Linked DNA regions of Rhinolophus ferrumequinum. The protein of the gene in region 1 binds, or shares a complex with, the protein of each later gene. Links are inferred from orthologs where the notes say so. Each region holds a gene or a part of one and is shown on either strand. Other genes may lie near its edges.

Evidence for each region. Proteins that work in one complex are often made in the same cells at the same time.
Region 2: the proteins of CRHR2 (region 1) and GNA11 are in contact, whole or in part, in a cryo-EM structure (PDB 7TRY), measured with the Homo sapiens proteins. The link is inferred for Rhinolophus ferrumequinum from reciprocal best matches to the Homo sapiens genes CRHR2 and GNA11. Residues at the interface, in NP_001874.2 of Homo sapiens: Arg148, Tyr208, Leu209, Ala212, Ile213, Thr216, Glu220, Lys293, Lys307, Ala311, Phe358, Tyr359, Phe362, Asn363; in NP_002058.2 of Homo sapiens: Arg37, Ile348, Leu349, Asn352, Leu353, Glu355, Tyr356, Asn357, Leu358.
Region 3: the proteins of CRHR2 (region 1) and UCN are in contact, whole or in part, in a cryo-EM structure (PDB 7TS0), measured with the Homo sapiens proteins. The link is inferred for Rhinolophus ferrumequinum from reciprocal best matches to the Homo sapiens genes CRHR2 and UCN. Residues at the interface, in NP_001874.2 of Homo sapiens: Phe68, Asn69, Gly70, Val71, Tyr73, Ile101, Leu102, Asp103, Asp104, Arg107, Asp110, Tyr113, Leu117, Asn120, Trp166, Leu169, Gln170, Val172, Asp173, His174, His177, Glu178, Thr188, Phe191, Asn192, Phe199, Phe256, Gly257, Lys258, Asp265; in NP_003344.1 of Homo sapiens: Asn84, Pro85, Ser86, Leu87, Ser88, Ile89, Asp90, Leu91, Thr92, Phe93, His94, Leu95, Leu96, Arg97, Thr98, Leu99, Leu100, Leu102, Arg104, Thr105, Ser107, Gln108, Arg111, Ala112, Asn115, Phe119.

The regions. Positions count from the first base shown.
Region 1 is NC_046303.1:11,768,923-11,777,195, reverse strand, and holds the start of CRHR2 (corticotropin-releasing factor receptor 2), read right to left. Parts: upstream 3,374-8,273; 5' UTR 3,339-3,373; coding exon 3,252-3,338; intron 1-3,251. UniProt on the Homo sapiens protein: G-protein coupled receptor for CRH (corticotropin-releasing factor), UCN (urocortin), UCN2 and UCN3. Has high affinity for UCN.
Region 2 is NC_046301.1:60,157,911-60,165,621, forward strand, and holds the start of GNA11 (guanine nucleotide-binding protein subunit alpha-11), read right to left. Parts: upstream 3,565-7,711; 5' UTR 3,522-3,564; coding exon 3,386-3,521; intron 1-3,385. UniProt on the Homo sapiens protein: Guanine nucleotide-binding proteins (G proteins) function as transducers downstream of G protein-coupled receptors (GPCRs) in numerous signaling cascades.
Region 3 is NC_046296.1:53,379,031-53,386,634, reverse strand, and holds UCN (urocortin), read right to left. Parts: upstream 3,150-7,604; 5' UTR 2,032-3,149; intron 1,768-2,031; 5' UTR 1,755-1,767; coding exon 1,371-1,754; 3' UTR 1,065-1,370; downstream 1-1,064. Other genes in the region: TRIM54 (tripartite motif-containing protein 54), read left to right, coding at 53-177, 283-375, 689-699; protein Mpv17, read right to left, coding at 3,818-3,887, 4,841-4,893, 5,155-5,187, 5,434-5,529, 5,617-5,709, 5,909-6,024. UniProt on the Homo sapiens protein: Acts in vitro to stimulate the secretion of adrenocorticotropic hormone (ACTH). Binds with high affinity to CRF receptor types 1, 2-alpha, and 2-beta. Plays a role in the establishment of normal hearing thresholds.

The sequences.
Region 1 (8,273 bases):
CCAGCCGATTGACCTTGGGCACATGACCTCGCCTCAGCTTCCTCATCTGTAAAATGGGGACAATGATGGTTTTATCTCCTAGGGTTGTTGTGAAGCTTAAAATAGATAACGTAGGGGCGGCCGGTTAGCTCAGCTGGTTAGAGCGCGGTGCTCTTAACAACAAGGTTGCCGGTTCGATCCCCACATGGGCCACTGTGGGCTGCGCCCTCCACAACTAGATTGAAACAACTACTTGACTTGGAGCTCATGGGTCCTGGAAAAACACACTTAAAATAAAAGTTTTTTAAAAATAGGTAATGTATGTCAGTGCTGAGAACAGCACTGAGCACATGGTAAGCCCTATGTACCTGCTAAATGCAATAAACAAAATAAGCTTATTGAATAATCGATCCTTCCCCCTGGTAGATTCGAAGTGACATCTTAAAAAATTCTCATTTTGAATAAAGTAACTTCAGACCCACTGGCTGAGGATTCCTAAGAATGTTGAAAATTAGATAAAGTGGAAAATGACAGTTAAGAGGACTACAGAATAGTTCCCTAATTCATAAAGTGCTGCAAATTTGAGATTTACCAGGAATACAGAATTAAGTAAGCAGTGCCCTCAGACAAATTGCTTTAAAAATAAAATACTTAAACATCAACAAAATGGCAAAAGCAGAGAGGAAAACTTAGCTGATCAGGTTACAAAACACTCAGAAAGTAGTTGAATTTTGGGGAAGTCATTAGATGAATGAGCTCCTGTCAAATGGCCCTTGAGACCTGCCACCTCCTACCCTGGCGCTGCAGACCCGGGGAGTGTGTGTACAGGGCCCTGGTCTTGGCCTTGGGGAGGGCTGTGCAGGTTAGTAAGGGTCCAGGTTCCTGGAGCCTGGGCCCTTGGGGGACTTCTCAGGACAGATGACTCCCACAGAAATCAGGACACTTGTGGCAAGAAGCCACAGAAATGCTGTCCTGAGACCCTGGGGAGGGGAAGCGTCGTGCTCCCCAAAGGTCTGAGGGGCTATACCCAGCCAGATGGGCTGGCTGGTAGATTCCGGGGTCTTCACAGAGCCGGACGGAAGTAGCTCAAAAGGTTAGAATCCAGGCTTTGGAATCCAGCATCCATATTCCTTAGCCTCACCCGATCTCCTTTTCTAGCTGTGTAAATGACTGTCTAACTTTCCTGGTACTTTAGTAAAGCGCAGAGCTCAGTGCGTGTGTAGCAGGTAGGCTGCACAATTACAGCACTGCCTCTCAAAGGGCTCAGAGGGCGCCCTGGAAGGCCGGTCTCCAGGCTGGACCAGGCTCCTCCCCACTCACCCACCAGCTGGGACGTTCCCAACTGCAAATCAGACCAGCTAGCTGAGCTCTGGGGCCAGAAGACCACGGGTAGGTTCCCCTCTCGCTGGTTACATCCTGAGTGACTTTGGGTGAGTAATTAGTCTCTAGTATCAGGCTGAGGTGTTCCAGGGGGCCAGGGGTAGGGCCTGGGTGACTCTAAGGGGACCACAGACTGTTGCCTGAGAGGTTTTGGTTCTGACACCCCCAGAACCCAGGGGACCCTCGCAAAGATCCCTCCACCTGGCCTGGCTCTGGAGCAGCAACCAGAACCCTCTCCATGTAACCAGCTTGGGCAGCTGGCATCATGCCCTCCCCCAGATGGGCGGGCTGTGAGGCAACTGAGGCCCTAACACTGGCTGTCTTAGAAGTCACCTATCTCAAGAACCAGCAGGAGGGGGCAAAAAGAACTCAAAGCCCAGGATTTGGGGAGTTGTAGAGAGTGGGGGTGGTAGTGAACCCACCGCACACCTCCACCCACCGCACACCTCCACCCACCCCAGATACAGCCTGCGATGTCATTTAAAGGACCTCGCAGGTCTAGAGGCCGTCTGCCCATTGGGGCACTGAGCACATCTCAGCATGGTGCCCATCCGTCTCCACCTGACCAGACCCCCTGGGCGGGCAGGGCCCCTGGTGTCTTCATGCTCCACCTCTAGTGGCTGGCACAAAACCATGGCTGCATTACTGAGTGCTCACTCTGTGCCAGGCATGGCGCTCAGAGCTCTACTTGTGTCATCTCATCTATTCCACACTGATCTCATCCTCATTTTACCCAGGAGGAAACTGGGGCTCGAAAATTTGAGTCACCTGTCCAAGGTCACACACGAAGCGGCAAAGCAGAGATTCGAATCAGGTCTGTCAGCAAAGCCACTTTGTCACAGCCAGTGGATGCTCACTGCTTATCTGTTGAGTGTTGAGTGAAAGTCCGCCATGGTCCTCTGTACATAGGGACGTCGAGGCCCAGGAAGTGGTCCCTGCGGCTGGTCTGTGGTGCAGTCCTGGACAGGACTAGGCCTCCTGACTTCCAGCCTGACTCTGGCCCCCGCGGTGTGTGGCCTCTGAGGCCCTCTCTGCACTCTGAACCATTTTAATGTCAGGGCTTTTCATGAAAAGTGTGGCCTTGCACAGGTTGCCTGTCTTCTCTGAGCCTCAATTTCCTTATCTGAAAAATGGGGACGGGGTTAAAGGGTGATTCCTCCTGCATCTGAGAATCTGTTTCTGGGAATCACGCCCGCCTGGCCTAACCCCACTTCTTCAGCTCTTTCTTTATAGCCCCTCTCCATCCTCTTATCCCCAGGTCCCACCTGCAGACCTTGACGCTGGCCAAAACCCACCGACAGCTTTGAGAGACCCTTGGTGAGGTTGGTCCTCCCAGCGCTTCCACTGTCCCATTGCTCATTTGGTTCTGGGGACTGTCTGGTTTCAGGCACTAAGAGGAGGGTGGGGACAGGGCCACAGGAGATGGGGGCTTTTAGGGGAAAGGCCAGAACTGGGGTGAGGAGAAAAAGGGATTTGAGGCTCCTGCAAGGAGAGATGGAAGGGATCCATGGGGGAGGGGACAGAATGGACGGGGGATAACGAATTTCTGGAAGTGAGGAGGGTCATGTCGCGACGCTAGTTCAGCCAGAAGCCCCCATCGTCCATGCGGCCTCTCAGTCCCGTTCTAGCTGCTATTAGAGTTTCATCTCTCCCTCACCTGCCCCCTCGTCCAGGCAGAAGAGCTCCCTCCCATGATCTCACACAGGGGTCCCCAACCCCAACCTGCCAGCAAAGGCCCAGAGACTTCCCCCACCCCACTCATAAGAGGGCTGAGGGAAACTGGGTCCAGGAAAGGAACACCGAGACCCCCTCCCGTCCCCCAGTCACGACAGCGCGGAGCTCCAGCTCCCGGCGCCGGGACTCGGAGACCCGACCGCACTGCCCACACTTACTCTGAGGAGTCGAGGGAGGAGGCAGAGCAGACAGAGGAGCGGGAGTGGAGAGCGGAGGACGCGCGGGGCCCCAGCGGGAGCCCCCATGCCCGCGCGGCTGGGGACAGAAGCGCGCCTCTCAGCGCCGACGTCCCTCCCTGCCTGCCCCTCCCCCGGGCCAGAGCGTGTAGCGCCCCCCCTCCATCCCCCGCCCCGGCCCAGCACCGAGGCCAAGGCCAGGCCCTGGGCATGGGGGTATTCTCCCTTGGCCCCCACCCCCAGGGCAGGCAGCCGTGACACCGCCGCCCAGTCGGCCTCCTCCGGGTTATTTATAGCGGGTGCTGGGCAGCCGCTTCTTCCCTGGCAGCCAGGGACCAAGGTCTGCCTCCAGCTTGCAGAGAAGGGGTTAATGCCTTTTATCTGCCACCACCTTAGCCTCAGCTATAGCCACCTGCGGTGGGGGGAGGGGAGAGAAAAAGAGATAGGGAGGAGGGGGCCTCAGCTGAGGTTGTGGCCTCAGTGCCCAGTGGGCTGGGGGCGTCTCACCCTGATCAGGCTTCCCAGAACCGCCCGCATCTTCTAATTGTCAGGGGAGCTTTCACCAGGCTCCGATGCCAGTTTGGACCTTTGGAAGTTGAATGTAGATGCAGATTAAATAATAGCACTACTGTATCAGTGTTCAACTTCCTGATTTGATAACTTGCGCTGTGGGTAGGTAAGAGCTGTTCTTAGGAACCATGTTTAGGACCACAGGGGCACCGTGTTTCCAACAATTTTAAATGGTTCAGAAATACGGCAATATCTATTTCTATCTGTCTGTCTGTCTATCTATCTATCTATCTATCTATCTATCTAGAGAACCATAAAGCAGATGGGTCAACATGTAAATAATCAGTAAAGGAGGGCAACGGGTTTATGGGTATATGGGTATACGACGGGTCATTCTTCCAACTTTCCTATAAATTTGAAATGAAATGCTAAAAAATGTTTTAAACCCCTAAACACTGAGGACAGCACATTCAGCAAGTGCAGATTCGGATTATGGAGGCTGGCACTGGCCCAGGCATTGGAGGGTTTCAGTCAGTTGCCCAGGGATCCTAATGTCGGGCAGGGCTGAGCAGCGTTGGTCCCGGGTGGGGACAGGTCTGGCCTGGGGCCGGGTCAGGGCTCAGGACGGGAGGCCTGCGCTGAGGGAGCCCCTGAAGTAGCCTCTGGACCTGTTCCCACAGGTGGGCCTGGTGCAGGGAGTTTCAGAGCTTAAGCAGCAGCTCCAGTTGTCAGGATCTGAGGGAAAAGCATTTGAAGAATGTGATTAGCGGGGCACCGCGATTTTCCTGCAGCGTGCAGACAGGGTGCACACAGGCCCTAGAGAACGCAGCCTGGGTTCCAGAAACTCAGACACTATGTTCATGCTGATCTCCCTGCCCGGGAACCTTCTCTCCTCCCCTTCTCTCCTCCCCTTCACCCCTTCCTCCAGGCAGCCTTCCTTGAGTGCTCCCACATCACCCTCCCCTGAAATCTCACTGGCCTGAGTCTGAGGCCCTGGCTGTTCCCTAACTGTCACTTGGATAAGGCTGGTCTCCAGTCAGCTTGGGCAGAACCCAGTCTCCCCCCGTCCTTTTTTTATTTCTTTTCCCCTTCCTCCTCTGTTGCATAGAGCCTAGCCCCAGTGGGGTCATTATGGGAAAAGCTGTGGAAGAGGTGACTGGATCTCCTCATTCATTAGAAAGTGACGGAGTGGAACCCCTTCCCAGGAGCCGGCACAGGATATGGTTTTACTGGACCTGGTCAGGTGGTCTTGGTCAGAGAGGACTCCTGGCAGGAGACAACCCCTTGGCAGGGCTTTGACGGGCGGGTAGATTCAGGAGGAGAGTTGATGGGTCATTATGAGGTCCCACAGTTCTCTTCAGCATGTCTTCCAGGAGTATCCCCCTGGCCAGCCTCTCAATGTTAAGCAGAGAGCAGAGGCTCTGACCTCAAGGTCAACCTCAGCCTATGGAGGCTGTGCGAGCCACCGGAAGAGAGGTGAAGCCCATGAGATCTGGGCATGAGTAACTGCAACGGGCAGTGAGAGATAGTACAAGGTGGGGGGGCAGCTCAGGGCAGGGCGGCAGGGGATTTGGGGAGGGGAGGACAGTACTGCAGGATTTAAACAGAGGGAGAAGGGGAGAACTTCACTCCAGATGGAGGAGTCAGGGTGGGCAGGAGCAGGGCAAGTGCAGGCTGGCTCGACTGGGGGCCCGGTTGGGGAGGGGCCAGTGTAGGGCTAGGCGGTCGGGGACAGGCTGGAAGGGAGCTTGGTTTGCTCTGGCTCTAAAGGGCCTGTGGCGCAGGCACATAGGTAATTGGCCTGATTCCTTCCTGGCAGGGCTCTTCTTGTGCTTCCAAATTCATTCCCTCGCCTCTGCCCCCACAGCCTGGAACACTCTTAGGAGGAGCATCCTTGGACAGCTAGAGCCACAATTTGCCTGGAGGTGGGGATGCCCAGGTACCCCAACCCCAGCTCCCAACGGCATGCTTAGCCGTTGACTGGAGGTGGAAGAAGTCCAGGTGTCATTAACACTCATGGGGTCCAGGAGGCTGGGACTTTGCCTGCGTCTCACTGCCGGGGACTTCTTGCTTTGCCCCCTCTCTCACCAGCATCTCCTGGGAATACTTCCTTTACAAGTCACAGCAGGTGACTCCTCATCTCCTCCCTGGGGAACCTGACCTCAGGTTCAGGGCAGGGAAGTCTGGACTTGACCCCTCTAAACGTAATAGTGAAAAACAAACAATAACAATAATAAAAAGCACACAAGACCCTTGAATTCCCGTGGTATCCTCTGGTAGCCTTTGTTGCCTTTCACAGGCTGCTGGTGGTAGAAGAAACCCTGCCAACAACTGTGAGCTGGCAGGCTAATACCAACTGTCATTTAGAAGTTTAAGCCTATTTATTTTTGAAAACGCCTTCATAGCCATTGTGATTATGAAAGATCAACCTGAGATGGCCTTAGAAGGGAAATGCGCGGTTTGCTTTGCAAAGAGGTGGAAACGCCTAGATTTTGCTTGGCATCCAAGATGGAGAAGGGGTGGGAGGGCTTGGGTCTGGGCTGGGGGGTGTCCCTGGTACTCAGAAAAGGACTGCAGGGCAGGCCAGGTGCAAGGAGGGGTGGCTGGAAGGGCTTCCTTGAAGTGTGAGTGGTCAGGGCATGTTCGCCAGGGGCTGGTGATAACCTTGGCCATCCCCATCTTCACAAGAGACTAGTCCCCTGTGTACAGCAGCTGCTGTCATGCTGCTCGGGAATGAGGACGAGGTGCTGTGCCACCTGTGGATAAAGGGTTGGAGAGGGGTTGGCAGCTGTAGGAGTGAGGAGGGAGTGCTGGACATTTCTTGGTTTTGTCCAGAATGATCCTGTCCTTCTGAGAAACGCTCCATCCTTTACTCCACTGTTTCTTAGTTTGTTTGTTTTTTGTCATTTGCACCTCCTCCTTCCCCAAGGAGCCTTTTTAGATCTTTTCCTAATTGCTCCCCCCTTATGAAATTGTCATACCTCAGATGTATAGCGTATCTATGGGAGGCCACAAACTATTGTAATATCCAAGACTCTTCCGCCCCCCAAGACCTGCTTTATGCCTCCTTGGGGGCACTGTCGTCCCCTTGAGAGGGCCTGCTCTACTCCCAACGTGATTTTGATTGGCAGTGGGCCACTGTGGATTGGCCCAATGCAATCGGCCAGGCTGGATAAATGAGAGGGCCTCCCACCACTGACCACAGTTGGTCGGTACAGAAAGGGCCAGCTGATCTGAATGGATGCGATCAGCATCCTCCCCTGGGATTTTTAAATTTTGCATCAAAGAAAGAGACTATTCCTTCCTTTTGGAGAAACTGAGAGATGCTACGTGCAGCAGCTGCGTGGCTGTTCGGAAATCTGAGCTGAGGGAATGAGCTGCCACACTCCAGAGGCAAGAAAGGGAGAGAGGGAGAGCGAAGGTCCTGGTGGCCTTCCAGGCACTGGGGAAGCCAGCTTTGCCTCTGCCCCCAGGGAGGGAGCTCTCCAACAAATCTTCCCTGATCCCCGAGACAGTCTGGGTTTCTGTTGCTTACTACCCTAGGAATTCTGACCTAGAAGGGATCAGGAATTGCACAGGAGTAGAATTCCGAGTAAAAGGCAACCAGGAAAGTGGAAGATACTCCATCCCCATGTTTCGGAATCGGAACTGTTGGGGAGAGCCCAGACTTTCTGTACATCTAGTGGGCTGGGCAGTCGGGTCAGTGTAGGTTGCTTGGGAGGACTGGGTTTCTTAGGGACACTTGGGTTGCGTGTCTCTCTGAGCAAGGGAGGGACCAGGCTGGGTCTGCACTCTGCAAGGCTTGCTCCAGCAGCAGGGCAGTTTGGGGTTGGAGATGACAAGTTCAGCAGTAAGGAGAGAGCAACGTGGGCCAGTCCAGCAGCGCAGGTGAGAGAGAAGACGGTATCTCAGTCCAGAGTGGGGTCTGTCCTGCTGTGCGGGGCCCCCACACTGATCCGATCTCTCATCTGGGGCTGGGACTGTTCAGATGAGGTTGCCTGGGGTCCCTGCCCCTCCCCCCTGAGCTTATGGCCCGGTGACATCTTGTCCCCCAGATGTATGAGGCTATCTCCTTATTTTAGCTGTGGTCACACCAATTTAGTCTCAGATGGCAGAGTATGCTTTTGCGATGCCATTTCAGAACACAATTTCATAGCATTGTTGGAAGAACAGCTATTGATTTTCCTCATTTTTTCTTTCTTTCTGTGGGTTCGGTGGGATGTTACTTTGGTCTCTCTCTCTCTCTCTCTCTCTCTCTCTCTCTCTCTCTCTCTCTCTCTCTCTCTTTCTCCTCCAAAATCCTGCATCAGGGATGCCAATTCCAAGTATGAGTTATGATCAGCTCTGTTGTCACTCGTCTCTAAAGAAAAACAAGTCACTGTGTTTGACTAATAGGGACTAAGTCCGCTCTGGCAGAGTTTGTACCTGCTCTTGAAGGAGCCTTGAACTTCGCACCTGGAGAATAGCTGGAGGGCTTGTATTTTCCGGTGGAGT
Region 2 (7,711 bases), on another chromosome or scaffold:
TCCGTGCACTCATGCATCTGCCTGTTGACACACACATACACACACACATAGGGCTTTGGACCCTAGAAACACAAACACGCACTTTTTAAGCAATCACAAAACATCCGACAAAATCACTTACACTGATCATACACCCACTCTGCAACACACATTTTACACCGTGTAACCGTGTACTACCATGGGGCAGAGGTTCTCAAACAGCGCTGGTCCCGCACGTAGGGGCCACCGGGCCATTCTCGGACATCTGTGGTCATCAGACGGGTGGGACCAGGGAGGCTGCTCAACAAGACGCCTCCATGGCCAGGACGGCCCCTCACAGAGACTGGCCCGGCCCCAAGGTCCCCAGTGCCGAGGAAGAGACCCTGCCATATGGAAAAGAGAGGCCTCTTTGAGGAGTTAAAAATCAACTTTAAAAAGGGGCATGGCGGGAGCACTGGGGACAGCACAGGGTGCCCACTCGGTGCCCCACTTCGAGGGCCAGAGCCCCGCTCCAGGAGCTCCACAGGTCAGCCACTCTAACCACCAGGATAGGGCATCAACACCCGCGCCAGGCTGGGGGGCCCCACAGGGCACGTGCACACAGCCCCGGGGAGACAGCACATGGACGTGGCAAACTGGGCCAGGGCTTCTCCAGCGATGGTAACTCGCTCCGCCTGAGTCCAAAACCAGGTGCCAAGGCGAGCACCACCAGAACCTCTCAGAAACAGGACTCACACACAATGCCACAGGGTGAGCAGCCCCTTAGCCCACACCACGGGGGGCAGGGGTGGTGGCATTCTCATGCAGCAGAACCAGGTGGCCTACAACTCCCACAGCTGGGAAAGCTGTGTGTCCCTTGATTTTCCCCCTACGAAACGGGGACAGTCCCCATCCAGTGGCTGGCTTGCTAGGGGGTTGGAAAGAGTCCTACCAGCAGGTCAGGCAACAGGCCGAGGGTGCTCAGTAAGGACGCCCTCCCTGCCCTCTCACACCCCACCCTGTCCTCTAGGCATCAAAGTCCTCCCAACACGGTGTCCTCAACCTGGGAGGACAGGCTGCCTGGTGAGAAGTGTTCCCAGGGTTCCCGAAGAAGTCCCGGGCCCAAAGCCCAAGGGATCACTTGTTGAGGCAGCACCTCAAGATCAGCCCCTACCATGCACACCCCCTGGGCCTTCGCCCAGCACTGAGGGCTGCCCTCCTCAGGTCAGAACCCTTCACCTTGGACCTGAGCGCTCACATCCTGTCCTATCTGCTCTCCATGCCTAGGACGCGACCTCCGGACACAGCGCCCAATACCCCGTGGTGCAGGCTGGCAGGGGGCAGACTAGATGCCTCTCTAGGGTTGCACCGCAGGGGAGAAGTGGAACTGCAGACACAGGTGCCCCCGCAGCTGACTCCCCATGCTCCCTGGCGGGCACTGGCTGCTTCCAGATCCCCTGCAGGGCTCTTGGGGGCCTCCCAGCCCAGGGAGACTGCAGACACACAGCAAGGCTGCAGGAGCTTGGGCCACTGACCTGTGTGGCCTTGACCCACACATCAATCTGAAGACTGGACATACTCAGGAGAGGAGGGGGCGCGCTCGGAGGCTCACGCAGCCCCCCAGTAAGACCGGCTGATACCGTTAAGATGCCCCTAATTTCTACCCCCTCCTCCCAAAATAAGCTCTACAGCTCACTGCAAAAACTGTCCAGTGCCACTCAGACCCCATTGCAAGTTTCCTCCAAACTTGATGCTTACTTTCTGCCTGTCTTTTCTGCAAAGATGGACTATTTTATAGACCTTAGGTAAATCAGAATACACGTTTGGAAAAAGAAAATAGAGAAGGAAGGGCGCAGGCAGGAAAAGCAATGTGTTCCAGCCAAAACCCACCATCTCCCAAAAGGCCACCAATGCCACCATCTGCCATCAGACTCAGCACCTCTAAACCCTTTGCTCCTTCTCCAGCCCCAGGCCCATCAAAGCTACCTCTGAGCGGCTTCCATTTCCAACTCTCCCCACAGTATAGGAATGAAAATGAAGCAGGGCTCAGGAGAGGGCACGGCCCAGGTTTCTGTTTTGTAAACGACCTTCTCGCCTTTGACGGCAGAGGTAAGTCCTTCAACAGCCCTTATTTGGGGTAACAACACTTTGCTGATAGCTAGGCCAACTCACTGCGTGCAACAGGTGTGCCCTGAGAAGTGGACTCGAACAGGAATCTTCCCCCAAGTGGAAGGAGGACCCGGGAAAACTGGCTCCCACGAAGGCAGAAGGAAATGATTTGGGGAGTAGAGTTGGCTGGTTCTGAAACCCCACCATGGCCTTCAGCTAAAACAGACTCTAAGAAGAGAGGAAAGGCTATCTTCTCCTCAATGGGGTGTACCCCTTTCTGAGGGAAACAGTTTTCCTGCAGAAGGAGGGTAGGCAGGGGAACAGCCTGAGGGAATGGGGGTGGGTGGGTGGGAGTGGGGCAGGCCCTGTGTGTAGGGAACAGGGCTCCACCTGGTGGGAGTAGTGGAGATGGGATCCTGCGAGGTGAGGGGAGCGTCTGTGGATTACACCCCAAGGTCTGGGCCTGAACAGATGCTGGGGCAGCGAGGGGGACACTCTGTGGGTAAGGGACAGAGGGCCAGCCCTGTGCAGGGAGGGGGACTCAGCCCATGAGAAGGGAGAGAACCTCCAGAGTTCCAGGGGCCCCACCTGGACTGCAGAGGCAGAGGCTGACCCTGCAGCGATCTGGAGACCTGATGTAGACCGCCAAAGCAGGGTACTGACCCTGGAGGGTTCGGGGGCCTGACCTGGACGACAAAGGCAGGGCTCACACCGAAGGAATCGGGGGTCTGCCACAGACAGCACAGGCTGCCTGTGAGGATCCGGTACCGACGTGAGCAGCAGAGGCAGGGGCTGACCCCTAGGGTTTCAGGGACTCAACAAGGACAGCAGAAACAGGGGCTGGCCCTGAAAACACTTTGGACCTCATGTGGACAGCACAAGCAGGGGGCTGACCCCACAGATATCAGGTGGCCTGAAGGTGGACAGCATGGGCAGGGTTGGGCCCCACCGGCCCTGCACAGGCACCTGGCCGACGCTGAGAACGTGGGGCCTTGACCTGGACAGCACAGGCAACAGCTGGCCCCGCAGGGATCAGGGCCCCATTGTGGGCAGTACAGCACCGGCAGGAGCAGACCCTACCTACTGGGGTTCCCAGCAAGCACAGCACAGGCTGGGGCTCAGTCCACGGCCGCAGTCCCACTGTGGACAGCAAGGCAGGAGCTATGGACACCACGGGCCCCGGCTGGCTCCGAAGCCCTGCCCTCGCCGGGGACAGCACGGCCACAGGCATCGCCTGTGGACAGCCCGCAGCGTCGGCCCCGCCCGGCCAGCACGCGCACCGCCGGCCGCGGACCCCGGCAGGCCCGGCCCCACTCACCGAGCAGCAGCAGCTTGAGCTCGCGCCGGGCGTCGCGCTTGTCCCGCCGCAGCTGCTTCTCGATCTCGGCGTTAATCCGCTTGGACTCCTTCACCTCATCGCTGAGGCAACACGCCATCATGGACTCCAGAGTCATCGTCCCGGCCCCGGAGCCCGCCGGCCGCCCCCGCCGCCGCCCCCCGGCCCGGCCCTCGCCCGGAGCCGCCCCGGCCGCACCCGCCTGGCCTTCGGCGCTGGCCCCGGGGGCCGACCGGTTCGCTCGACTGCCTACGAGCGCCGGTCCCGCTCCGCCGCGTACTCCCGCCCGACCACCCTCCGCCCGCGCCGCCGCCGCCGCTAACCGCAGCCGCCGCCGCCAACCGCAGCCTCAGCGACCGAGAGACAGCACCGCACAACCTAACCCGCGCGGGCACAGTGCCGACGGGCGGGCGGCGCGGCCAATGGGAGGGGGCGGTGGCCCGCCCGCCCGTCGCGGGGGCGGGATTAGCGGTCGGGGTGGGCGGGACGTCGCTCGGGCGGGGCGGGGCGGGGCGGGACGAGGCGGGCGCGCCCGCGGGTTAGGTTGCGCCGACGTGGGAAGGGGGACGCGCAGCTGGGAGCCGGGCGGGACCGCCCGGGATTGTGGGAATGTGGCGGACTCGGCCGGCCGGCTCAGCGGCGCTCGGCACCGCTCGGCCCTGCTCGACCCCGCTCGGCCCGGCTCGGCCCCGCTCTGCTCCGCTCCGCCCGGCTCCGCTGAAGAACGGGAGGCAAGGACTGCGCCAATGTCTGGTCGCGGCGCTGGGAGACCCCGGCCCAATGGTGGACACTGGGGTCCTAGCCTTCACGGTTTACCGGGAAGCACCCTGGCATTGCCTAACCGGAAAGAACCTTCCATTCATCTGTTCTTGGGACAAGCATGAATAGAACGCCTCCTGTGTATTGGGCCCGGTGGGCCCCGCATTAATGCAGCGCCTGTTATATGCCACGTATGCAGCAAGCTTTAATGGAGTTCCTACTGTACCAGGCATGGACCAAGCATTAATGCAGCACCTGCTATATACCAGGTGTGGGCCAGGCATGAGTGTAGCACCTGCTATCTAGCTAGGCATGAACCAAACTTGAATGTAATGCCTGATATATACCAAGACAGGGCAAAAACATTATGGAGTGCCTACTGTAAACCAGGCATTAATACAGTGCCTGCTATATTCCAGGCAGCAAACATTAATGAAGTGCCTACTGTATACCAAGCACTGCTTTAAGCCCTTTAAAGCAACCCTATTACCCAGTTGATATTCTTGGGGTATAGCCTCGCCAGTGCATTTACGTATGTATGGAGCTTGGCTGCTTTCACCTTTCACCCACAGACTTGAGTAGTTGGGATAGCTTTAAAATATTTACTATCTGCCTTCTTACTGAAAGAGACCTAGAACGAGGCCCAGACACACAGGAGGTTGCATTCTGAAGAATGGGGGAAAAAATGATAGCCTGACATGTTCCTAGTGCTGGAAGTCCGTTTTACAGCGGAGGAAACCAAAGCGCCATTAAGGACAGTTCCCTGACTACAGCACGTCTCTCAGCCCTGAGCGGGCTGGAACACCCACATCTTCCCCCACCTGGCCCTGCCCAGAGCCCTTCACACGCCTCCCAAGCTGCACCTTAACATGCTGTACTCTCCTGTCTTGAGATAAAGGGTGAGGGGAGGGTCAAAGTCTCCGTTTGTTAGTTGAGGGCAGGAAGATTAGCTCCTTGAAACTATCATCTTGGGGCTTCCATCCCCACCTCGGCCTGGGCAGGAGGCTCCTGGGGTGTCCAACACCGCAAATACAGGAAAGCTTCACTTGAACCAAGAACCTACCAGCAAGGAAACAAAACTGTTGTCCCTCAGGCAGAACCCTCAGGCATTACTGGGGTTCTGGGGCCTCTCCCTCCTCCAGCATCACTCTGGTGTGCCAGGTGCTAGACTGGATAGTGGAATTGGTCACCCATGTGTGTGAATTCCACGTGTGCAGGGAACTTTGTCCATCTTGGTTTCTGTGGCATCCCCAGAGCCTGAAATAGCACCTGGCATACAGTAGGTGCTCGATAAATGTTTGTGAAATCAATGAAGGAACCCAGCTTTCCTGGGTGCTTCTTTTCTTTCTCTGGAGTAAACAATAATAATTGCACCTTCTTCCTTTCTTCCCTTCTCTGTTCCTGGTCTTTGTTGTTGTTGGCCTCTTCCTGATGAAGGTCTTAAATCTCAGGGTCGAATCTTGTTTTTGCTGCTTACTCTGCTGTGCACAGTAGACTAGCGACTTAACTTCTCTGGGCCTATTTCCCCATCTGTAAAGTAGGCATAATATTAGTTTTTTCTCAGCGAGCTACTGTAAATATCCAAGGAGAGAGTTCTTGTGAAGTAACAGTAGAAACTTAATGTTTGTTTATTATTATTTTTGTTAAAATTTATGAAAAGTGATTTTTTAATTATTATTAGTTGCAGGTGTACAAAACAATGTAATAGTTAGACATGTATACCCCTCACAAAGTGATAACCCTCCTCCCCCAATCTACTACCTCTCTGACATTGTATAGAGCTGTTACAGTTCCACTGACTCTATTCCTTATGCTGTACTCCACATCCTGTGACTATATATATATTAAATTATATTTGACATTCAGTATTATTCAGCTTCAGCTTCAGGTGTACACTGCAGTGGTCAGGCACCTACACTGTCCATGAAGTGGTCTCCCCAATGAGACAAGTGTCCATCTGACACCCTACAAAGCCTTTACAACACTATTGATTATATTCCCCAAACTGTCTTTCATATCCGTGTGGCAATATTGTAGTTACCAATTTACACTGTCTAATCCCTTCCTCATCCCCACCCCCTTCCCATCTAGCAACCATCATTTTTTCCTGTATATCTGAGACTATTTGTATTTACTTTGCTCATTTATTCAGTTCTTTAGACTCCACAAATAAGTGAGATTATATGGTATTTGTCTTTCTCCGTCTGACTTATTTCACTTAGCATAATGTTCTCTAGGTCCATCTATATTGTTGCAAATGGTACAATTTCATTCTTCCTTATGGCTGCGTAATACTCCATTGTATAAATGTACCACAGTTTCTTAATCCAGTCATCTACCGATGGGCATTTCGATTGTTTCCAAGTCTTGGCTATCGTGTATAGTGCTGCAATAAACATAGGGGTGCATAGATTTTTTCAAATTAGTGTCTTAGATTTCTCTGGAAAGATACCTAAGAGTGGAATTGCTGGGTCATAAGGTAGTTCCATTTCCAGTTTTTTGAGATACCTGATTTCCAAAGTGGCTGCACCAATCTGCAATTCCATCAAGAGTGCATCAGGATTCCCTTTTCTCCACAGCCTCTCCAGCACTTGTTTGTTGATTTATTGATGATAGCCATTTTGACTGGAGTGAGGTGGTATCTCATTATGATTTTTCTGCTGTGTTTTTTTTTTTAACTTTTATTTATTTTAAGTGTATTTTTCCAGCATCCATCAGCTCCACATCAAGTAGTTGTTTCAACCTAGTTGTGGAGGATGCAGCTCACAGTGGCCCATGTGGGGGTCGAACTGGCAAACTTGTTGTTCAGAGCACTGCACTCCAACCAACTGAGCTAACCAGACGCCCCTCATTGTGGTTTTTGTTTGCATTTCTCTAATGATTAGTGACGTTGAGCATTTTTGCATATGTCTGTTGGCCATCTGTATGTCCTCTTTAGAGAAATGTCTCTTCATGTCCTCTGCCCATTTTTTAATTGTGTTTGTTTTTTTGGTGTTGAGTTGAATGAGTGTTTTATAAATTTTGGATATTAACTCCTTATCAGATGTATCATTGACAAATATCTTCTCCCATTCAGTGGGCTGCCTTTTTATTTTATTGATGGTCTCCTTTGCTGTGAAAAAACTTTTAAGTTTAATGTAATCCCATATGTTTAATTTTTCTTTTACTTCCCTTGCCCGAGGGGATATATAAGAAAAAATATTACTCGGTAATGTTTGCAAATTTACTCCCTATATTTTTTCTAGGAGTTTTATGGTTTCAGGTGTTACATTTAAGTCTTTAATCCATTTTGAATTTGTAATGCTTGCTTAATTATTGAAATACTAGGGGACAGTGGTAAATAACTTCTAGGATTGTCCCCAGTGAGCCCTGCTGCCCTGGTATTCATGGGCTGTGTACTTTGTCCTGTCTAGGATGTGGGTTGAATTTAGTGTTACACTTCGAACAAATAGGATATGACAGATGTGACTTCAGAGATTAGGTTATGAAATGTCTTTGGCTTCTGCCTTGGGCTCCCTTTGCTCACTGTAATAGCGATCTTTACAGAAG
Region 3 (7,604 bases), on another chromosome or scaffold:
GGGGAGTGAGGGTGCTGGGGCGTTTCCAGATGAGCCGTTGCCACTGCTGCAGGGTCGGGACAATGTCGAAAGTGGAGCTGGCAGGACGGCCAGAGCCAGGCTATGAAAGCATGGAGCAATTCACCGTGAGCGTGGAGCACGTGGCGGAAATGCTGAGGACCATAGACTTCCAGCCAGGTGAGGGAGCCAGGAAGGGAGAGGACCCTCCGGGTGGGGGCAGGGTAAGGCATGGCGCCCAACCAGCAGGAGACTCTACCTCAAGGGGGTCTTCCTTGGGCCCAGGAGCTTCCGGGGAGGAAGAGGATGAGGACATGGCGATGGACGGGGAGGAAGGCAACGCAGGGACAGAGGAAGAGCGGCTGGATGGGCCGGAAGGTGAGTGTATTGCGAGGGCCATCGCGGCCTGACTGGTCCTCGGGTGATCGCCCTCCCTGCGGGACCAGGGCTCGCTTGCAGACCCTGCTTTCAAATGCTTCCCAACCCCCAGCAGAAGCGGAGCGCCCCCTAGCGCGGGTGCAAAAGGACACTTTCTTTCGCGTCAGCCATTCCTTCGGGGCTTTGGGCAAGCAGGGTGGGTGGGGAAGTAGAGGAGACACCCACGTGGCTGGGGAAAGGGGGTGCGCTGGGTTTCGGAGTTGCCTTGTTTCCTTGGAGCACCCGCCCACCGCGCTTTTTTTCCTGGGGACAGGCCTGCACTGACCCTCCCCCTGTGGGGGACTTCGCGCTCTGGGGGCCTGGCGCTCGGGTAGTGGAGGATCTGCGCAGAGACCACCGCGCCCCTCAGCTCGGCGCCCCGCCGCTGGGGAGGGCTCAATAAAGGGCTCATGCATCCCGACCCGCAGCTCCTTTCACTGCTCACTGTGTGTCTCAGCTTCTGAGGCGACCCTGTCACCAGTCCGCCCTTCTCCGGATCTGGGACCAGCTGGGAGGCGGAAGTGAATGGAACCCCTGTTGGGAACCTCCTTGATATTAGGCTTGGATTCCTGAGCCAGTGCCAAAGGCAAAGAGTAAGGGGTGGTGCGGCAGGATCAGGACTTGAGTTCCGGGGGACTTGGGGATGATAGGGACACAGGACCCTGGCTGAACGCCACTCTCCAGGGTGCTCCTCCTGCAGCACTGGTTCCCTCCCACCGACCTAGGAGGCCCCACATTCCTAGGGGTTCCCACCCTGCTGTGGAAAGTTCCCGGCGCCCCCACAACAGAGACCAAAGGCTCTCCGGAACTTTTATTAAACACTAGTAACGCAGAGCGTGCTCAGGGTATCCCTGGGCAGCTCTAGCCCCGCGGGACTGGGTCAGTTCCAGTTGCGCAGGTCCCAGCTCCGGGTTGGGGGTGAGGGTCGAGGTTTTCCGCGCCCCAGACCCCGCCGATCACTTGCCCACCGAGTCGAGTATGACGCGGTTCTGCTCTGCGCGCTCGCGCTCTCTCTGCGTCCGTGCCTCCTCCAGCAGGGTCCGCAGGATATGGAAGGTGAGGTCAATGGACAGCGGAGGGTCGTCCCGTCGCGGCCGCTCTCCTGTGGTCACAGATCCCCATCGGCCTGGCCCCGCGCGGCGCGGGAAACGCTCCGCCAGCAGCAAGAGGAGCGCGCGGGCCTCCCTGCCTTGGTTCCGCGCTCCGGGACTCCAGCGCAGACTCGGGTCCTGGACCCCGGCCGCCGCCTCCTGCTCCGGGCTCCACTGGCTGCTCCCCGGGCGCAGATGTGCCAGGAGCAGCAGCGCCGCCAGCAACGCCGCACGTCCCGCCAGCCTCATGGTGCCACCAGCCCTGGACACACAGGAGCAGCGCAGGGTGAGGTGCGCTTGGAACAGTCGCAGGTGGCGCCACTCCCCTTCCCGCGCACATCCAGCGTCCCCGCCGGTCCCCCGTAGCAGCCGCGCTGTGCCCACAACCTTCCCTGCAGTCCCTGCCGTTGCCCAGTGTTGTGCCACCCTTTCCGCCTTCCCTCCCTCCCTCCCTATTAGCGGGTCCCGGCAGGCGAGCGGAGTCCTGTTGTTGAGCGAGGCAGGGCGGACTCTCCGAGCCACTCACAGGTTGCCAGAGAGCGTCTGCACAGGGCAGGAGGGAGGTCCAGTCTGTCCCTCGGGGCGGGCTGAGGACGCCTTGGGAAACACGGGGTCTGTCCCGGGACCGCCGCCAGCCTTATATAGCTCCAGGACAGCTCCGACTGACGTCAGCGAGGAGCATGCACTGATTGTAGAGCAATGACGGTGGCGGCTTCGAGTCCAGCGGGTGGCGGGACCCCGAGGGGCGTGTCTCTGGGGCTTGCGCTAGAAGCGACAGCGGACTCAAGTGAGCGAGAAGCTGGCTGGGGCATGAACATTGCTCTGGAAGCAACGAGTGTCCTTCGCCGGCTTAGAACAGTCAGCAGTGAGCAGGGCCGGTCCCCAGACCAGAAGAGTCCAGATGGCTAGTCTTCTCTGGCACACGGAAGGGTGGTTGGATCGTGGGGCTGACCCTGCCCTCGGCCTCCAGAGGGGCCAGAGGCACTGGGAGGATGCAGTGCTGCTCACACTCGGTCCCTTGCCCGTCACCAGCTCTGTAAACTGAGACAACCAGGAGTGCTCCGCTGGCAGGCCATCCTCACCATGGTACCCACCCAAGCAGCAGCTGAGGCAGGCTAAGTCAACCAGAATCCCTGATCTTATTCCAGTCCCGGGATCTAAATTCTAGGGCTGTCTGATTGAGGCACCATAAAAACGAGGGTTTCTGGCCTCAAGTGCCTTCAGACCACAAAAGGCTGGTCCATCTGCTTCTGTTTGCTCCAAAGTGGTAGTTTAGCCAAGTTCCTTTTTCTCCTGGGAATCACAATAGTATTACTGTATCTTTACCGCCAGGTTAAGATCACTTGGTAGGAAGTAAGGAAACATGGTGCCTTAGTCCATCTGAGCGGCTGTAACAAAAATACCATAGACTGGGTGGCTTATACCCAACAAATATTTATTTCTCACATTTATTTCTCTGGAAGCTGGGAAGTCCAAGATCATGGCCCCAGTAGATGTGGTGTCTGGTGAGGATCTACTTGCTGGTTCATTGATGGCAGCTTCTTGCTGTGTCCTCGCACGGCTGCTTTTATCAGGGCAAGCATCCCACGGGGGCTGTGCTCTCACCCCCTAACCACCAAAGGCCCCAGCTCCCAATGCCATCACCTCAGGTTCTTCGCCATATGAATTTGGGGGGGGGTATTTAAACATTTGATTTATAGCATGTGGGTTCAAGTTTCTACTTTGCCACTAACTCATGGTGTGGACAGGTCACCTTACTTCTAGGGACCTCAGTGTCCTCGTCTGTAAAAGAAGTTTGGGCTTGGTGGTCTCTAGGCTTCTTTCCATTCCCTAGAAATTTTGACTCCCTAGTATTTTTCTGTTGGGTCTTACTGCAGGTTCCAGATTACACATTTATAACATATTTACAAAGGTAACACATAAAGGGTTTGAGGGGGTCCCCAAGGAACTGGAGCTACACTAGGGCTGGAGAGGGTTAGGGAAATAGATGTATTTATGAAAAGCGGGGATGAGTGCACTGGCTGGGATATGGGTATAAAGTAATGTTGACAAGATCATATGGCTGAATAAATATTTATGGGGTGCCTACTATGCGGTGGGCATAAGACCATTATACAAGTTTTAGTAAATTCAAAAGGAGTCAGTTTACATTTTAGAGTGACATGGGCCGTTTCATAGTGCTAATCCCGCTACATTCTGACCAGCAACCCAACCCCGTGAAAGCAATGTGCCCACTTTGAGGAGGAGGTCGGCCGACCATTCCAGGGTCAAGCTGCGTCACTGCAAGGCGGAAGCAATGGAGTGAGGCAGGCTTACAGCTGGTGTGCCTTCCAGGACAGGTAGGAGTTCCAGACAACAGCAACACACTGGACAACAGCCAACCTGAAGAACAGGAATGGCAGCGTGAAAAAGAGGAAGGATGAGGAGAAAGCAAGTGGGGAGAGAGGGGAAAGTGTAATGCAAAAGGAGGCATTATCTCTGAAAACATCCAGATTTACACCTCCTTCAGGAGGGACGCGTGGTTCGGACCAGAGGACACAGCTCAGGTGCTGCTGCTGTCCCGGAGCCTCAGGTGAAATACCCTCAGCAGCCATCTTGCCCTGCAGGGCTGTTACTCATAGTCCTGTCCGGGCTCCTTCTGAATACACGTATCTGTCATCCGTGTACCAGCGGAGAAGCTCTCATCTTCCAGAAACGTACTGTCTGCCATAGAAAGTAACACCTCCTTCTCTTGGTGTTAAATTGACCTTGCTTTAGCTTCTAAGACCGTTACAAGGATTCTAAAGTTTAAAATTTGGTTAAGTCTATATTCCTTTTAGCTATATTCCTTTTAGCTACGCTATTCATGTAAATTTTAACCATGTCCCCTCCGAAGAGTTTTATATTTTTCTGTTTATTTTTCTGTTCTCAAAGCCCCATCACCATCCTAATTTTAACTAGTCATCCTGAGTTCTACTGTTTTTATTGCAGTTTCAGCAATATTACCCTTTATGATTAGCGTAAAATAATATTTTGCAGTGGATGAACCTACCCAGGTTCCTACATGGCTCTTTGAGTGACCTTTCTAACTAGGCTGCAGCCCCCTCCACGCTGTCTGCAGCACAGGTAGGGAGCTCAGGTGGGACAGAGCCAAGGGTTGTGGAGCAGGACCCTCCCGAGGTCAGTGGGCACTCTGCGACAGGTTCTATAATGAACGAGAGGATCTGAATAAAACGCTCAGGAGTCTAGGAGTTCCCGGGGGTCTAAGGTAGCTCAAGATTGAATGAGAATCACTTTATCTACAACTGTTCATAATGTGGCTCTTCCTTGAAGGGTGGGGTAGGGATCTGTCATACCTGTAATGAAGGGGGACCAGGTAGAAGTTGGCTAGCTGCACAGCAGGCCAGAGCTACGAGAGAGAAGGTAAATGTTGGGGGGCTGCCTCCATCACCTGACCCCAGACTCACTGCCTTGCCTGGTCCTCCTCCAACTTCTGTAAACAGAACCAAGCGGAACAAGTGGGGGAGAGCTTCCCTGAGTGTGGTGCCCACACTGGGAATGAGGGGGTCATCCCAACTGAGGGATTTCTAGGTCAGGAGGACCCCCAATCCCTGGGCACTTCTGGACTCAAGGAGGCAGGAGGACAGGCAGCGGAGGTGTCAGCTCTTACATAGTAGTTGGTGACGAGGGCATCAGGATAATCCTGAGGAAACACAGAAGGACCCAATCAGCACTTGCACTTCCAAGCAGCTCCCATGCCCCAGTCTGAATAGCACCCACAGATTTGTTCAGAGAGCACACTCCTGCACTGCACCCCCTCAGCTCCTTTCTTCCAGAGCCCAGGACCCTACCTGTACTTCGGCCTGTGTCACCCCCCTGAAGCCTGCCTCATTCCCCTGGGCGTGCCAGTCTGCCAGCCAGAGGTCTTCCCCACACCTGCCCAGCTCACCCGCCGGAGTTTGGCCCAGTTGTCCTGGGCTGACAGTCCATTGAGTGTCCCTACCAGTGGGAGGAAACAGCCTAGAAAACATGGGGCAAAGCCCCCCTAAGGAAAAGAGATTAAAGAGCTGTAAGCACCTAAGCCCGCCCTCCTCCAGCTCAGCCTTCCCAGCCCCCGTTTCCTCCCGCTCACCTGATCCAACAACATCTTCTTTAGTGCATCCACCTTGGCGGTGCCAGGGACGAGACGGTCTAAAACCCTGTACCAGCCTCCTACCACAGGGCCCTGAAAGCAAACCCCAGGGAGGGGAGCAGGGATGCAGTGAGGGGGACAGTCGGCTTTTACATCACAAAGCCTCTCCCTTGAGTATTAAAAACCAAATTTCAGGGCAAGGTACACTCCAGGTTGGCGTAGATGTAAGAAAGGCCAAGGGAAACAGACCACTGTCCAATCCAGCAGCAGCTCTGCTGTGGGCAGAACTTACCACAAAGCCACATCCCAGACAGACCATGGTCAAGGTCCGGCCAGCCTGGTGTTCCCGCAGACCTCGCCTCTCCACTAGCTGCTGTGAAATGACGTCACCCAGGCCCATCAGGGACCCTGTGCAGGGTACACAGGTGTTGTCAGAACACCTCCCGGGAGGGGCTGCCACTCCAAGGAGGGAGGTAAGCCTGCTGACTGAATGAGTCTCTAGCACTCTGGGCCCGAGGGCTGAATTCTGGGGCAAACGGCCAGTCCCTTGCTGCTGCTTCAAAGCTCTCCTCTCCCAAGGATGGTGACACCCCATGTGTGTCCTGTTAGAAACTGGGATGAGCAGCCTGGAGCAGGCCAGGGCCCAAGGACTCTGTATGGAGCAATGGAGGAGTCAGAAACTGCAGTTGGAGGAAGGACAACTTAAGGTACCAGGGGCTGAGAAGCACGGACTGTCAGAACTGGAAAGGCCTTCCAGATAACTGCACCCACACCCCTTATTTCAGAGGTATGGAAATGAAGGTCTGGGACCTCACATAACCAGTAAGCGACAGAGCCAAGGCACAACCCACGTGGCTTCATTTCCTAGACAGTCTTCTTTCCAGGACACTACACTATGGAGAGGTCATATGTAGGATGGTAAGGAACCCTGGGTTTTCTCCCCCAGCCCAAAGCCAGACCCTGGCCAGGGTCCTTCACCTAGGTCTTCGGGTCTATGGAGAACAGCAAGCATAACTCTTTTTCTGAAATGTGAGTGTTCAAATGGTCCCAGGAAGGAAGCTGACTGGTGGAGCTGGCACGAACGAGTCCCCACAGGGAAGAGTCCTGGCCACCTCTTAGCACAATCAGGTAAACCCAGACACCCCTTCACACCTCAGATTGAGCTGGCAATAGGTATTCCAGCCTTTTCTACCCCAGGCCTTTGCACTTGCTTCCCCTCCCCTCACTTGCACAGATACCCAGCTCTAAGCAGCCCTTGTCAGACTCCCTCATCCAGAAACCAAGACAGAAATCATTATTTACAGAGCCCCCCGTCAGTTCTAGTGGCGTGATGGCTTCTAGCAAATACACACTTATAGGGCCACCTGGGAGTGACCGTATGATCTCCAGCTCGCCTGCAGAGCTCACCTGAGTAATGAGAGTCCCCCACTAGCCCGTAGCCACCACCATCCCTGTGCCCTCAATTAGCGCTGGGCAAACATATCCTTCCACCCCTTTCCTTGGCCGGGAGCTGGCTCTGACGTCCGTACTGGCTGCAGACTCACTGCTCTTCCCCCACACTTCTGCGCAGCCTCCTCAGAGGCAGCTGGGCAAGGCTGAGAGCTGGGGCTGCAGCTGGAGTGGGGGCACCTGTAGGCAACCGAGGCTGCCGGTCTCAGCTGCTGGGACCCCCAGCACAGCCAGCAAGGTAGCCCTGCCTCTCCTGTGCCTGAAACTCCCAAAGTGGTGGAGGTTCTTCCCAGAACAGGGCTAGACACGACCTGCCAGAGGGCAAGGACAGAACCCTGGACAGCTTTGTTCTCTTAGCCCTGCCACAGCTAACCAAGCCCCTGGCAGGTGCTCAGAAAACACACCAAGGAAAAACGTCAAACGTTCTGCCCCAAACAACACGACTACACTGGAAAGGGCATGAAGGACTCCAAGGGGCCCGAAGGCCCGCATGTCAGGCACAGGGTACGAGGACAGTGGAGGTCAAGGCTTGCTCCCCC